3 linked regions of the Drosophila melanogaster genome follow. The protein of the gene in region 2 purifies or fractionates together with the protein of the main gene of each other region. This does not show direct contact. Each region holds a gene or a part of one and is shown on either strand. Other genes may lie near its edges. The genes, in order: ProtA, Nph and Hmr.

The links.
Region 1: the proteins of Nph (region 2) and ProtA purify together in Drosophila melanogaster (affinity purification with western blotting; 2 studies listed by BioGRID, with this or other methods). This does not show direct contact.
Region 3: the proteins of Nph (region 2) and Hmr purify together in Drosophila melanogaster (affinity purification with western blotting, with the first as the bait; one study listed by BioGRID). This does not show direct contact.

Annotation. Positions count from the first base shown.
Region 1 is NT_033779.5:14,878,446-14,883,293, forward strand, and holds ProtA (protamine A), read right to left. Parts: upstream 3,208-4,848; 5' UTR 3,066-3,207; intron 1,195-3,065; 5' UTR 1,174-1,194; coding exon 793-1,173; intron 744-792; coding exon 684-743; 3' UTR 605-683; downstream 1-604. Other genes in the region: ProtB (protamine B), read right to left, coding at 3,759-3,812, 3,862-4,242.
Region 2 is NT_033777.3:30,003,051-30,006,520, forward strand, and holds Nph (nucleophosmin), read right to left. Parts: upstream 1,812-3,470; 5' UTR 1,554-1,811; coding exon 1,532-1,553; intron 1,400-1,531; coding exon 1,254-1,399; intron 1,108-1,253; coding exon 940-1,107; intron 855-939; coding exon 720-854; 3' UTR 631-719; downstream 1-630. Other genes in the region: tace, read left to right, coding at 23-128, 202-364, 430-472; Nlp (nucleoplasmin), read left to right, coding at 1,984-2,005, 2,238-2,371; CG7912 (uncharacterized protein), read right to left, coding at 3,007-3,216, 3,287-3,469.
Region 3 is NC_004354.4:10,590,378-10,597,450, forward strand, and holds Hmr (hybrid male rescue), read right to left. Parts: upstream 5,479-7,073; 5' UTR 5,216-5,478; coding exon 5,167-5,215; intron 5,101-5,166; coding exon 2,335-5,100; intron 2,277-2,334; coding exon 1,935-2,276; intron 1,876-1,934; coding exon 1,180-1,875; intron 1,123-1,179; coding exon 734-1,122; 3' UTR 543-733; downstream 1-542. Other genes in the region: CG2124 (uncharacterized protein), read left to right, coding at 5,873-7,073.

The sequences.
Region 1 (4,848 bases), on a different chromosome or scaffold from region 2:
TCACTGCGCAATGTTTCTCTGAGTAAGAGAAATGAGCTGTAATGGGTGCCAAAAGCCAACGACAGGGAAAAGGAGACAGGAGGCCACCAGACAATTTATGCGAGCCTTGGGAATTGTTTCGAAAATTGACAAATTATGGTCGTAAGTGCTGCGATTAGTCCGTTCCGTTCCATTCGCCTTTTCGTTTGCTATTTTTGCCAACTGTCCCAAGGTTGTCTTCCCAAAACCACAATGTGCATTACATTTACTCACAGAACAGTTGCAGAAACGGGTTTATGGCATCCATAACATTGCGGGCACTGCGTGTTATTAATAATTCAATTTAGCTGTCTCAGAACAGACGACGGGTCAGAGAACTCTGGAAAGCTTGAAGCACACGCAACTCCTCCTATACCTTCGAATTCCCAATGCCGTGCCCATTTACCGCTCAGCCTTAGCAGTTTTCCCGTTCCATTTCCTCGGATCACAGCTCATTATCTATTCATGCAAAAGCTCATATAGTGGAATAATAAATTGAAATTCGACGGGCACCTGGAAACAACCACAAATACCCATTCGCGCTATTCCAACATCCTAGAATCGTAATAAAAAGTACACGATTTTTAATTGGTTTTTATTTCTAAATTCATCGAATGTTAGGAAAGGATATGCCTGGACTTAACTGCATCAGACTTTTTCCTATCTCAGTATTGCTGGCAAATCCGTCGGCGCTTGTGGCGTTCACTGGTGGTGACCTTGCATGCCTGAAAGGACACCAATGAATAGTCTTCATAACATAAAAAATATACGTACCATCCGGCGGTATCGATCCTTTCTATTCTCCGAGAGCCTGGCCCACGCTTTAGCGGCCTTTGCAATTAATTCCCGCGGTTTCAAGTTACAGTGCTTCTTTCGGAAGGAACGCACAAAATTCAAATAGGCGTTGTTAGTGACAGGTCCCTGCTTGCTGCACTTCTGCCTCGGTGCACACTTGACCTTGGGCCGAGTCGCCTTGGCACAGGCTGCCTTTCGGCGCGGCTTTGCACAGGACTTCATTGGCTTACATTTTTGAGGTGCTCTCCTTATTGGATGATTACACATTTCAGTGAGACCTTTAGGACTTTCATCTTTTGCAGAAATGGAAATTATGCCATTCCACAGGCTCTTGCACTCATTTACATTATTTGAACTCATCGTAGAAAATTTTTACAAACTCTGAAAAGAAAAGGAAAGGGAAGTTTTATATGGGATTTATTTGTTGTGTACGATGTCAGCCATCAACTGTGATGGAGTATGTTCCCCCCGCATGTGAGTGTTGGCCCCAGAAGCCGCAGAGTTGCGTCCTAGAGAAGTCACTTAATCAGTGAGCAACCCGAGTCTCAAACCAGAAGTAAAGCCCAAGCCCTACCGACCAGGATGAAGATCTGAACAGCAGGAGACAAGCGGTTGCAACTGCAACAAAGCCCATAATTAATAACAGTTGCAAGCTGCCTCCCGACAACCGACGTTTAGTCACCATGTGTGGGAGCCTAAGTGGCGGTTCTTAGCCAAGACCAATGAGTATTAAGAACTGGTTATATAATTGTCATGGAAATCTACAGTAGTTTGTAATGAAAATTAGTACCCGACAGCAAATGGGCAGTGGTAAATAATTAATAGAAGGACTCTCCAAGGATAAAAAAGCTAAACCAATATCTGTATAATTCAAGATTACTGAAGTTTCCTCAAATCCGAGCAATTTATTTGCCACCCACAGCTGATATTTTGGGCTTGACAAATATTAATTCGAAATATTAATTTGAAATCGTTATGGATGTGTACAAATTACAATTTGTGACCAGCTGTGCCATCGCACCACACTGCCTGCATTGTCTATCAAACCCCACTGAACACCCAGTTGGAATACAAAATTCGCTTTAGCTAGAGAGCTTCATTGAAGGCCCAATATGCTCCTTTTGGCTCTTCGAACTTAAAATTATCTTGTGGATCAATATAAAAAAAAACAGCACGAGTTGAATGGATATTATTGGGGCTTCGCCGGGAGGAAGTTATCTTCAAAGCTATTTTTCTTCAATGAAAGGAAGCCTTGATTGATTAAGTGCTAAACTAGATTTAAAAGCCAACGAGGGCAGGTAAAACTAAGTAGGAACCGACAGGAGCTGAGGGCGTCGAGTGATTATCATTAGCCGCCAGAGTAGTTGCCATTTAGCACGCACAACGAGATGAGTGCCAGCAACATCAGCAGCAGATGCAACAATGTTTGAGTAATTGTTTGCCGTTGCTGCAGCGTCAACAGCAGCACAAGCAGCAGCACAAGCAGCAGCAACTGCAGATGCAACAAAATTTGCATGCAAGCACAAGTCCCTACTCACCACCCCTTAGCCCAAAACCCCACTCATTGCCCCATTTGGCTGCACACGTAACTGAACGGTGGCAACAACTGCAGCAGTAATTGCAACAAACAATTAGCGTCACTTGGATTTATGTTTACGAGCGGCTGCCTGGACATTTTCGGCCACAATGACAGTGTGCCCCCTGTCTACTGCCCTTTTATGGTTGTCAACGAGCAAAAAGTTGATCAATCAGGACGTGTAATTTATTTACAATTTCACTCTGACAACGAAAGAAAGAACTAAGAGTTTCTCTTCACATTAACTCGATCTTTCTTTCGGCCGAACCGCGTGAACCGCTATGATTTATTTAATTGCCCGCGCTTGCTGCCAGTGTTGTTGCAGCATGTAAATGACGTCATTACAAGGCGTGGGGCGTGGCAAGGTGGTTGCCTGTCGACAGACTACCCCCGGCATTAGTTTAAAGCCAGATAGGAGGGCCACATCCATCCGATATCGAGGCAAACACGCCACGTCGACAGTCGACATTAATTTAATCGCATCACAATGCATTTACAGAACTGAATTTCACAAAAGCTTCTTTAAAAGAAATTTTTGAAAGTAAAATTTTTTCAAATGAAGTTTATCGAAACTGATTGGCATACCAATAAAAAATAATTATGCGCTTCGTTTAAAATAATTTGTATGGTATGTTGTTCTGTAAAAATAAATTGTAATTCGTTTTATTTCACTTACCTTTATAAAGTTTTTTTTTTTAAACCAAATTTTTGTCACAACTAATTTTTAAGAAGAGCATAAAAATAAGACTTTTGGAAAAATTTTGCTTGTGAACTGTTTGTGTACCAAGTTACAACTAATGTTTAAAAAAACCGACTGCCCGGTATAAGGGGTATACGGCAAAACCTACGCCAACTATATGGAATAAAGTTAGATTTGATCGAAACGACGCCGGCGGATACGCATCCTGGGAAACATCCTTCTGTTAGGTGGTTACGCCCCCATGTTTCCCTTTGCCAGTGGCAGTGTGGCAAGTTTTCCTCATAGGTGGCATAAATTATGTGAAACAATTTTTGGGTATTTCGATTGTCTCACAACAGACGCCTGGTCAGAGAACTGTGGAAAAGCTTGAAGCAGAAGCCTATCCATATCTTCGAATTCACCATTGCCGTGCCCATTTACCACTCAGCCGTTTCATTTCTTTGGATCACAGCTCATTAGAAAGCTCATATAGTGGAATAATAAATTGAATTTCGCCGGGCACCTGGAACAACCACAAATACCCATTCGCGCTATTCCAACATCCTAGAATCGTAAAAAAAATGAAACCCGGTTTTTAATTTTTTTTATTTCTAAATTCATCGAATGGTATCAAATCAATGAAAATATATGCCTGGACTTAACTGCATCAGACTTTTTCCTATCTCAGTATTACTTGCAAATCCGTCGGCGCTTGTGGCGTTCACTGGTGGTGACCTTGCATGCCTGAAAGGACAAATTAATAGTCTTCATAATATAAAAAAAAAATACGTACCATCCGGCGGTATCTATCCTTTCTATGCTCCGGGAGCTCGGCCCACGCTTTAGCGGCCTCTGCAATTAATTCCTGCGGCTTCAAGTCACAGTGCTTCTTTCGGAAGAAACGCACGAAATTCAAATAGGCGTTGTTAGTGACAGGTCCCTGCTTGCTGCACTTCTGACTCGGTGCACACTTGACCTTGGGCCGAGTCGCCTTGGCACAGGCTGCCTTTCGGCGCGGCTTTGCACAGGACTTCATTGGCTTACATTTGGGCGGTGCTCTCCTCTTTGGATGATTACACATTTCAGTGAGACCTTTAGGACTTTCATCTTTTGCAGAAATGGAAATTATGCCATTCCACAGGCTCTTGCACTCATTTACATTATTTGAACTCATCGTAGAAAATTTTTACAAACTCTGAAAAGAAAAGGAAAGGGAAGTTTTATATGGGATTTATTTGTTGTGTACGATGTCAGCCATCAACTGTGATGGAGTATGTTCCCCCCGCATGTGAGTGTTGGCCCCAGAAGCCGCAGAGTTGCGTCCTAGAGAAGTCACTTATTCAGTGAGCAATCCGAGTCTCAAACCAAAAGTAAAGCCCAAGCCCTACCGACCAGGATGAAGACCTGAACAGCAGGAGACAAGCGGTTGCAACTGCAACAAAGCCCATAATTAATAACAGTTGCAATCTGATTCCCGACGTTGTTTTGTAACGAACAAAAAGTTGATCAATCAGGACGTGTAATTTATTTACAATTTCACTCTGACAACGAAAGAAAGAACTAAGAGTTTCTCTTTAGATTAACTGGATCTTTCTTTCGGCCGAACCGCGTGAACCGCTATGATTTATTTAATTGCCCGCGCTTGCTGCCAGTGTTGTTGCAGCATGTAAATAACGTCATTACAAGGCGTGGGGCGTGGCAAGGTGGTTGCCTGTCGACAGACTGCCCCGGCATTAGTTTAAAGCCAGATAGGAGGGCCACATCCATCCGACATCGAGAC
Region 2 (3,470 bases):
GCTAAGCTGCGATTTCTTTCAGGGCGTATGCGAAAAGACCATACAGGATGTGGTGGAGCGCTTCTGGGACATCATCGAGGAGATAAATGTGGCCAAGACCTTGAGGTTTCTCAAGGACAACATTGTCAGTAAGTATTGCAATCTTAAATATTACATTCTGAAGATCCCCACTAAGCCACACTTGCTCAATCATATTTTCAGTGGCCGTTGTCCTCGTCACTGCAGTCTTTTGGATTCCCATCAGTTGCGTCATATCTTACTTCGACCGCAAGAAGCTGCGCCATGAAATGAAGCTGATTGAGTGGAGCCAGAAACTGGACCTTATACATCCCAGTGACGAGAGGCGTCGAGTGATTCACATACGGTAGGCGCTCAGCCTCCTACTTTATAATTATATACTGATAACCAACCACCAATCTATACTTTCAGAGTGCCACGCCAGAAGATTTCGGTGGCCCGAGCCTGTAATTAGCACAAAAACCCAGTGGGTTCCTTTTGTTTTAATCTTCCGTGAGCATTCTTCTTAAAACTGCCACAATTCGTTTACATTAAGTGACATATTTGAACATACGCAACACAGAATGAATAAAATTCCATATAATATAGACCAAAAACAAAAGGTCATTATAATTGGATGGTTTCTTTACATTATTAAAGTCGTATTGAAGTTTTTATTTTTTTCGGATCATTTAGTTAGCTTACTGGAGTGTAATGTGTTTCTACTTCTTCTTATTACTCTTGCCGTTCGTCTGAGGAGCTGCTTCTTCGTCGAATTCCAGTTCGCTATCCTCCTCCTCGTCCGAATACTCCTCGTAAATCTGACCGTCGTCAAACTCGCCAAAGTTCATCTCGACCTGAGGGTACGGCAATTTGTTAGGAACAGGAACCCAAAGTAGATAGAAAGATAGATAGATGGATGGATGGATGGATGGAGCTCACCTTGCCGCATACGTGTACGGGTCCACTTCCCTGCACCAGTTTGAAGGTCACTGATCCATTGGGGAACTCGACATTTGGTCTTAAGCTACGGGTCTCGCCGACCTTCAACACGGCAATGGGGATCTTCAAGGTTTTCTTCTCGCCATCGTCGTTTATGTTCGTCTCCGCCTGGAAGCGAAACATTAAATTTGTGTGCATTTTATCACTGTATAATTTCCGAGTTTTTCGCGAAATATGATATGAGTTAAATCAGCCATGTCGCCTTTAAATTTACGACCTGCGACGCGGGGCAGATTGCCGGTATCGAGGCTCACCTGTACAACGTTGAATTCGCCGGTCTTCGCTTCTGGGCCGAGGGAAATCTGTTTGATGATGAGCTTGTGCGAGTGGACGATGTACTCCTCGGGTACATCTGGGACCTCGAACTGTGCGATGGCCTCCTTCTCGCTGAGTGTGACACCTGGAAGTGGACGAACGGCGAGAAGGGTTGGATTTCCGACTGCTTTTTGCCGGCTGGAGGGGAGCTGCTCGCAGCGTGGCTATGGGATGGCTATTGGAGCGCTCTTCCAGCCCAAATGGCAATGGTACTCACCATAAAACGACTCGGACTCCATTTGCAGGCCTTGGAACACAGATGTACAGTCAATTAATAAAAGAACCTTTTGTACTCTACACGTGCCCGTAAAACGGCGATGGCTGCAGTTGTGTGAAGCGTTGAGCGGTGCTGTTATCGAAGCGCAGGACTATCGATATTATTCGTTTAATTTGTTGGGAACTTCGCAAGTACTGGTAATGAAGACTTGAAATATTTTTTAATATATTTTACTGTCGCGTTAGCTTGCAACAAACGAATATAGATTGTCACATTCGATTGGACACTACAAGTGGCAGCCCTGCGATTTTGATTCCCAGTCTGACAATCATCGATTTCGGCACCTTACGTCGGCCTGGCAACCCTGCGACAGCTACCATTTTGCAAAAGATTTTGCTCAACACGTGTTCGCCGCTGGTTTTGTGTGGAATTAATATTAAATATTACCTACCATGGCTGAGGAATCATTCTACGGTAATTACAATTTAGCAGTTGCACTCTATAGGCAGCGAAAGGGGGCAAAAGTGGACGCGTAGAAGGCGTATTTACCACCGAAAAGGCGGAGTGTCTGCGAAGCTTGCCGGTGTTTTTGCTCTAAGATTTGCCGCTGGCCAATTTGTGTGTGTCTAGCCTCAAACCCTCGGATTTGAGTGCGCGAATAAGATACGAATCAGAAAGTATAATGGCGACTATATCCCCTCCGCAGGAGTCACTTTGACCGCCGAGAGCGACAGCGTCACGTGGGATGTGGACGAGGACTACGCACGCGGCCAGAAGCTGGTCATCAAACAGATCCTCTTGGGCGCCGAGGCCAAGGAGAACGAGTTCAACGTGGTCGAGGTGAGTACTCCATTCATTGTGTATGCGAAACGGGGCATTCAGTGCATGTAGTAAATCCCATAAATTGTGTATGCGCGCGCCGGTTGGTGTCCTCTTCTTTTTTTCTTTTTCATTTTTTTTTTCGTTGCATTTTTCCGGCCGGCGGGGCAGGGACCGGTTTCCATTTTTCCCCCAGACCAGAACAACCTCGAACTTTTCGCTCGTTGTGGTGGGCTAGGGTAATTGTGTCTGTACATCTGCAAACGGCCGCCGAGTAACCAGCCCCGGACTTTCGATTGCCATGGTACATTACCAATGGGATGTGCTAGGTACATAAATTCTTTTTAGTACAAGGTACTTGCAAAGAAGTACTAGGTACTTTACAACTGTCCCAGTAAATCCAGGGACTTAGGTGTTTTGTATATTGTTAGGAACTTTCGAGAATAACTATCAAAGCACATCTTCTTTAAAGAATATAATTTTTATTATAATAAATATTTTTAATTTGTGCTTTAAAATTTCTCATTAGTTGTACCTAACCATCATTATACCTTAACCATCAAGATCCTCATAGTTTAAGTACCCCACCTTTCCGAACCAAATTCATTGGCGCAACTGTACGCAGATACACATACGGCAAGACAAAAGAGCACTCTTTATTGACTCAAGTCAACGGCGATACACGAATCGGCTGCCTCGGCATCCGCAATTGTTTGCATTAGGTCTGGAAAGCTTTTCGAGAACTTGAACATACTGCGCAGCTTCCTGTCCATCCGGCAAATCACTCCCGCCGCCGGAATACTCCAATTCCAGCAGATCATGTCGCACTTCAGCAGGGCGAGATCTTCGCGCAGTGACTTGAGGTTCTTCGCGAGGAATAGAGAAGAGGTTTCGGGTCAAAGGTCATAGTTTGCAGCAAAGAAAGCTGGCACTCACCAAAGCCACTGTCGTATCAATTGAGGCAATCTCGTGTCCCTTAATGACCACCAGTGTGGTGGGGGCACTTCCCTCGCTGTTTCTTTGCGTCACGTGCGACACAAGCGACATTTTCAAGTACTCGGCTGCCGCGTAGTCCACGCTGCCCTTGAGATCGGCCATGGTCACCTCAATGCCGTTAAAC
Region 3 (7,073 bases), on a different chromosome or scaffold from region 2:
ACAATTATTTTAATTGCTTTCGAAGAAATTGTGATTTTTTTTTAACAAAAAACTGCAAAAAGGAAAATCTGATATTTTCCTTATAACTTGGCGAAGAAGGTGGTAGAGCCAAAAAGTAACCGTTGTTTACTGTTCGTCATTTCGAAAGAAATGTGGGAGGATTACTAAAATCCTTTAAATAGTATATCGTCAAATAGTTTGGCCATTCCTTTGTCCTAGACAATCATCCCCTGTGTTTTACGTGCGCCTTATTATCTAGCCACTCCTCCAGGAACTTGGCAATCAAATCTTTTCCCAATTGCACGCCCAATTTATTCGGGCTTACTTTCATGTCCTCGGAGAGGCCATACAAGTGGGCGGGGCCGGCTGACCGACATATAATCATGGGGCCTTGCCCTCATCGCTATCATTCTGCGACTTTAAGCGTCTAACAACATTAGATACTGTTTATTATTGCGCAAGTTTCAGTTTGGTATTATACCTATGGTACTCAGGAACTCTTAAAATCTTAAATTTAACAGTCCCAGTGCAAAACATCATATGAAAGTTGACTGTGGCCATTTATTCAAGTTATTCTAGAGGGCTCTTAAAAAAAAAAAAAAAGTTATTGCAATTTCATGCACTTAATAATAAATAAGATGTATTCTGTGGCAATGAAGGGTGTCAATGGTACGGCGAAAGTTCTTACAGAGAATATGTATGACTAAACTACGTGTGCCAAAAGTTTCGAGAGCTAAGGCGGTGGCGGATTGACCTTGGCGTATTTAGAGAACAGCTGCGTCATCTTGCCGAGCAGTGTATCCTGACTGGCCGTGGACAAGTTACCGACGGCGTAGGCCCAATTCTTCACCACGAGATCCGGACTGCAAGTGGACAAATTGATCTCAGGCAGGAACTCCTGCGGGCTAACTTCCTGAGTGTTCTTCGCAAGCGATTCGTTTAACTGGTTGAGCTGCTGTGGCGTGCGGACTGTCAGCTGGGCGTTCGGCTTCACCTGCTTATAGATTTCCGACATGTGGTGCAAGTACTTGTGGCCCATTGTACATTGATTGCTTGGATCGGCGATCTTCAGATTGCGCATCTCGCGCAGAGCGTACTGCAGACCAAGGCGGCATTCGGTCACTGCAAAATATGTACTTTTAATCAAATGTCTAAATTGACATATTTGCAAATGATTACCTGTGGCATGCAACTCCTTTGATACGCGAACCCAGGCGGCTCGCTTGTCCAGAGTGCTCGCCCGCTCGAAGCTGTTTGGTTGGCTACGCAATTTCTTACACAACTCAAACGCCTCAATGGGGGATAGATTGTTACAGGTGACACTTCTCGCTGGGGTCGGCCGCTTTTGGGCGGTGGAGATATTCTTGTCTTTATGAGACTTGACGTTGGCGTTTGACGCTGGCTTGCTTTCGCTTGTCTTTTTGGACACGGAAACGCCATCAGGTACAGGAATAGGTTGGGCATCGGGTGCCAAAGCTAGAGCCGGAGCTGGAGCAATTTGAGTGAGAGTTTCAGTGCTTCTCACGCTATTCAACTTGCCGGTAAGCAAGCGCTTGGCCTCCTCCGTCTCCCATGGCTTGGGTTCTTTGGAAAAGCCCGTTAAAAGTTTGCTCGGTGTAAATTTGGTCTTATCGATATGATCGGAGGACGTTAGAGCCTCGTGCATTTTGCAGCGCTTCACCTCCTCTGACATCCTGTTGTGCACTATATAGTAGTAGGGCTCGAGCGGATGGTAGCGCACATTGACCAGAAACCTGAGTTGCTCCAGTGCCTGCCACCAATTCTGCGGCCAGGGATTATCGATGCCGCGCTCTAAATCATCCAGGTATGTGCGGAAGGCGAACTTAAACATTGACCAAATATCCCGATGATTGACTGCAAAAGAACAGAAAATTACTAATAAATGATTGGCTTATAACATTTATTAAACATACGATTTGGGAATTTAAGGCGGGCCTCCCGCCACACCTCCTGCTTCTCCTGATTCGTCAACTGGGGCGGAGCTTGAGCATCTTCGCCAGGTCGCGGCCTGCGTAAATCGCAGTAGAGGTACTCGTACTTCGCGAAGAAGCGTATTACTTCCGGCAACACGTTCTTGTGATTCAACCACTGGTATTTTAGCGCTATCTCGTCAAATTTGCCAAACAAGCGATTCGATTTTTCCCACACTTTTTCGCTGTACTTAAACGGACGCATCAGTTCCGACATCGGCGCAATTTTTGGAAACACACTCATGTTGGCCGCCAAGAATTTCCAGCATGCGCGCAAAGCTTCCTCTGCAGAACAAAAGAACGTATGAGCCAATGTTTCTAATATATATATAGTTACTCCTACCTGGCATGTGAAACTTCTTGGCGATAAAATGCCAGAACTCAACACACTTGGCCGCCAACTGTGGATCTTCCTTGTGCAGCTGCGGCACAGCCATCACCTCGCGGATCAACGTCGTCGTCCTAATCATATTGAGATTGAAGCGAGTACCCTGATTTCCGCACCAAACTTGCAGTTCATTCCCAGTGGTATCACTCTCGTGCAGACACACGGTTATGTTGCCAAGCGGCAAGTTCTCCGGCTGACTGCCTAGGGTTGCGGATGCGGCTGCAGTTGCTTTTATATCTGACTGCGATGCTGTTGTTGCCTTGGCTACTGTCGGCAATTTGGCTGGTCTGACCACTGGTGCTGATATTGCTGCTCCCACAGCTTTAGCCTGGCTTGCTAATGTGCCCTGTATTGTGGCATATGAGTCAGATGCAGCTTGTGTTGCAGATGTAGGAAATAATGGTGTTTTTCGTATGACTCGAGTTGTTTGTCCAGTGGCGATTGGTGGCGTAGTTACAGGCAGCTCAGTTGCTGGTTCTGTTGCAGGTTTGGCCATCCTGGTTGCTGCTGTAGGTAGTACTGCTACCGGTACGATTGGTTGATATTTTTTGGGGTTTACTAATGTTGTTGCTGGCAATTTGGGCTTTGGTGGTATTATTTTTGCTCTCGCTGGTTCCGCAGTTGCTACAATAGGAGCAGCTGCAGGCGAAGATGTGGTTAATAGTGATCTTATTGGCTTACTGAACGGAGCGCTATTGCTTTTGCCATCCCAAGCGCTTTTCAGTCCCGGCTGGTGTATTCGTACCATTGGAGCCGCAGTGGGTGTTGGCAGATTGCTTTTAGCTGTAATATTCGATGTTGTTATTGGTACAAAATTTGGCAGTGTTTGTTGCGGAGCTGGTGAACGTATTTGCGATGGATTTTGTGGCCTAAGCAGTTCACCCAGTGTCGACATTGGCCCTCCGGATACCCTGTCTTGAGTTTGAGCTGGATTGGTTGGATTCGTTGTTCGAATTACAGTGCGGGGGACTACAGGTGCCATTTGCGGTCTACTGGCCATTTGAGGCTTCGTATGGAGCTTAACCTGTAAGCCAGGACCCTGCGTTATCTGTGGACGCACTTCAGGCGGCTTTGCGTTTGGGCCCGCCATCTGATTGGTGGTGGCGATGGGGGACACGCCCGTTCCCATAGTCGCCGCCGGCTTGGGCAAAATTCGTACGTTGGGCACAAACTTTAGGGGTATCATATATCCCGAGCCCACACTGATGGCGGACGTGATTTTGGGAATCACAAACTTGGGAAGAGCTTGATCGGGCGATACACTCGAACTGACGCTGTTCGTTGCGGCGGCGGCGGTGGATGTGTTGTTAATGACTGGGCCAGAGGACCTCCTAACATTGGTGAAGGTGGGGCCAATGCTTGTGGCAGTGCTTGCACTGTTGGTCATGCTCGTGCTGCTGCCTTTTGAGGTGGACGGATAGACAATAGCCAATGGCATACGTACCGGCACCGGTGTTTTGGCCGGAGGCTCCCCCGCCACTGGTATGGCGCCGTTGGCTGTCCGCTTTAGTGCGGGACGGGCCGTGGAACGAGAGGTAACTGGCGTTAAGGCCAGACCCATGGAGCCCTCAAAGAACCACTTGTCCTGCAGCTGATAGCCGGATGAGCGCACGGCCTGCAATTCGTGGTAAAAGGCGCGCAGCACCAGCCAGGTGACCTCGCAGTGCTCGTGACTACACATCACTTCCATGCCGACCTTCTGCCAGAATTCGTCGTAGCGCGGCGGTTTCACCTTGTTGTGCAGGGAGTCCTCCGTCAGCTGAACTAGTTCTGGCATGTTGCGCATCGTGGTGATCAGCGCCATCACAGTGTGGAAATTCTCAATGGGCTCGTGCCAACCGTTTTGCAGGTACTTGGAAGACTTGCATACGGTGCCGCGCATGCGCTGTACGTGCGGTTCCATGAAGTCCATCAACCGACACAGCTCCGAAGTGCCGATATGACGTGGGCGATGGATTAACTCCCATTCGTAGCGAGTCTGCAGCTTTAGCCAGCACTTCATCAGCTTGGTGGCTTTGTCATGGACTTCGTTTGAAATGGCACTCCAGATTAGAAAGCGATGTCGTGTGTTCTGATAGCCCGTGCACGTGCTATCGTACAGAAGGGGATAGGCACTGACTGCCTCTATGAGGCGACGCTGTAACCTGTTGCAACGGTAGTTATAGGTGGGGTCCTCCTCGACATCCAAATCTATGATGTCCATTGGCGGATTCTCTATGACCTCCACATCGGGCCGGGTTTCGCTCTCATCCACATGCTCTTTTTCAAGAATCTCTGTCGGAATCTTGTCGACAATCAGTGGGAATCTGGCCACATGGGTATACATGAAGCGCATCTCTTCCTCGTATTCCATGCAAGGACGCCAACGCAGGGCCGCCCGATCTTTTTGGATGGCACTGCGATGAAAGTTTCTTAGACGACGAACATGGCGCTGATATTTATATCGCAGCGCCGACCAGGATCTCTTGCAGTTGGTCGCATTCGTTGCCAGGCGGCTGGCGATTTTTTTCCATTGTTTCTCCCTTTGAGCGACGTCGCGGAATTTCGGATGCCGGGCGTCATACAATAGCGGCTGGCGGCGTACCAAAGCGATGAGCAGCCTCTCTGCCCTATAGGTTTGCAGAATGCCGCCATCCCGAGATCCCGGATAAGTGCATCTGCTGAACGGATTTGGGGCCTTATCGTCATCCACGCCATTCGTCTTCTGACCAATTGTGTCAGCTTTGAGGAAAAAAAAAAACGGAAGTTAGTTGAACGGCTGACCAGGTGACCAACTGTCGGACTTACAAACAATTATCTGGCAATCATTTTCAATGGCAACAGGCTCCTCCTCCATGTCCTAGACACCTGATAGCTCCAATCTTGACCTACGCGCGCCTTTCCCCCACACAAGCCGTCGAGAATTCTCGGAACGGAGAAACCGGTGGGCAATCCGATGGAACCACTGCTTCACTCTTCACTCTTTTGTAGCATAAAATCACTCGGAAATAGTTTGGGAACAACTTGCAACTACAGGATTATTAAGTGCAAGCGTATCTACGTAAATATATCTACGTAAATAAGGTTTCTTGCGACGCCAGATAGTCGGCGGTTGCAAACGCAAAATGGTTAAAGAGCGTTATCGACCACGGATACCGTTATCGAAACATTCGATTAATATTTGAGTGTGAAATAGAATTGTATAGCTAAATATTTTTGTTTGTGTTAAGTTAAACAAAAATAAGTTGAAAAAACACGTTACAATTTGTAAAGCTACATTCTAGTAGCTACCCATTTGGATATCAGTGGAGTTATCGATAGCAGCCAAGCGCTGAGAGCAGAATATTTCGTTAAGTTCTCCCACTTGCGAGCACTCCAATTTCTTCGTTCTGGCAACGCTGCTTACCAGTCAGCTGTTTAGCCGGCAGGTTTTTCAACGAATGTTTTCATAACGCGTTTTCCATTCAAATTCAATTGAATTGAATTAATTTACAACCAAATATCGCTCTAAAACATGTGGGCAAGAACAAACTACCTCTGGCGAAGTGTGGGACGTCTGCGCCGCCAAGTATGCACGACGATCGTTTCACCAGCGCGAATATTTGCGGACCGAGAGAATCAGTTCGCCCATGGAATCCTGATGGATTCTCTCAAACCGTATGCAATACTGCGTCCTCGGGACTCCGCCTGGCAGGATTTGCCCGCATCTGAAGGCTTTATGCGGCCACAGCCAGATGCCAGTGCTGCCGATCTCTATGCGGACTTTTTAGGCCTGGTGAGGCACTGTAATCGCATGGAACTGAAGATCAGCGATAGCCGCTACGAAGCCTTTACCCGCTGCTTCTGTGAGCAGCTGCATCGCCTTACGGATGAACAACTTCTTGGATCGCTTAGTGCCTTGGCCGAGCTGCCCGTACCGGAATCGCCCAAAGCCAAGAACTACATGGAGATATGGAATACCCTGGACATCGAGTGCTGTCGCCGCATCGAGCGATGGTCCAGTGAACAATTGCTACTCGTGAGCGATGCCTGGTATCGTCTTGGTCTGGTCAGGATAGGCGAGTACGTGTGGCTGGCGCTGAAAAAGCTCGGCCGCAAGCTGCGAAAGCTGCCGCCAGAACAGCTCGTTCACTCCATGTTCCTGTGCAATCTACTGCGCCGACCCGTCTTCGAGATGTTCGATTTCGAGTTGAATCTGGCCCGCTGCGTGGATCAAATGACGCTGTCCGAATTGGGCGTAATGGCCATGGGCTTCTTTAAGACACAGACGCCTATCAGAAATCCGGAGCTGCTAACGCAACTCTATCAGCGATTAGGCAGCGAGCTGGACACCGTGGAAGACATTGTCCTGGTAGCGCTGCTCAAGGTGCTGCGGTACAGCAGCAAGCTGCCACAAGTGGAGCCGCTAAAGAAGATGTTAAGCGCTCTAGAGTCGCAAGTGGATCGCGTTTCCCTCCTCACGTGCCTGCACATGGCTCTTCTGGGCTGTGAACTGCAAACGTGCAATGATGCACTGGTGGAGCGCATACTGCTGAGATTCGAGCGTGAGTTAGAGACTGCCCGCCTCAAGGATATGGAGCGAATTTGTCTGGTAATGGCCCTTTTCAATATTACAACTAAGTCGGGAGTGGAACGCCGGTTGGCGGAGAGATTGCCCGATTTGCTGCGCCAGCGTATAGAGGAGATACTGCGCCATCCTCGTTGTTTCTCCAACT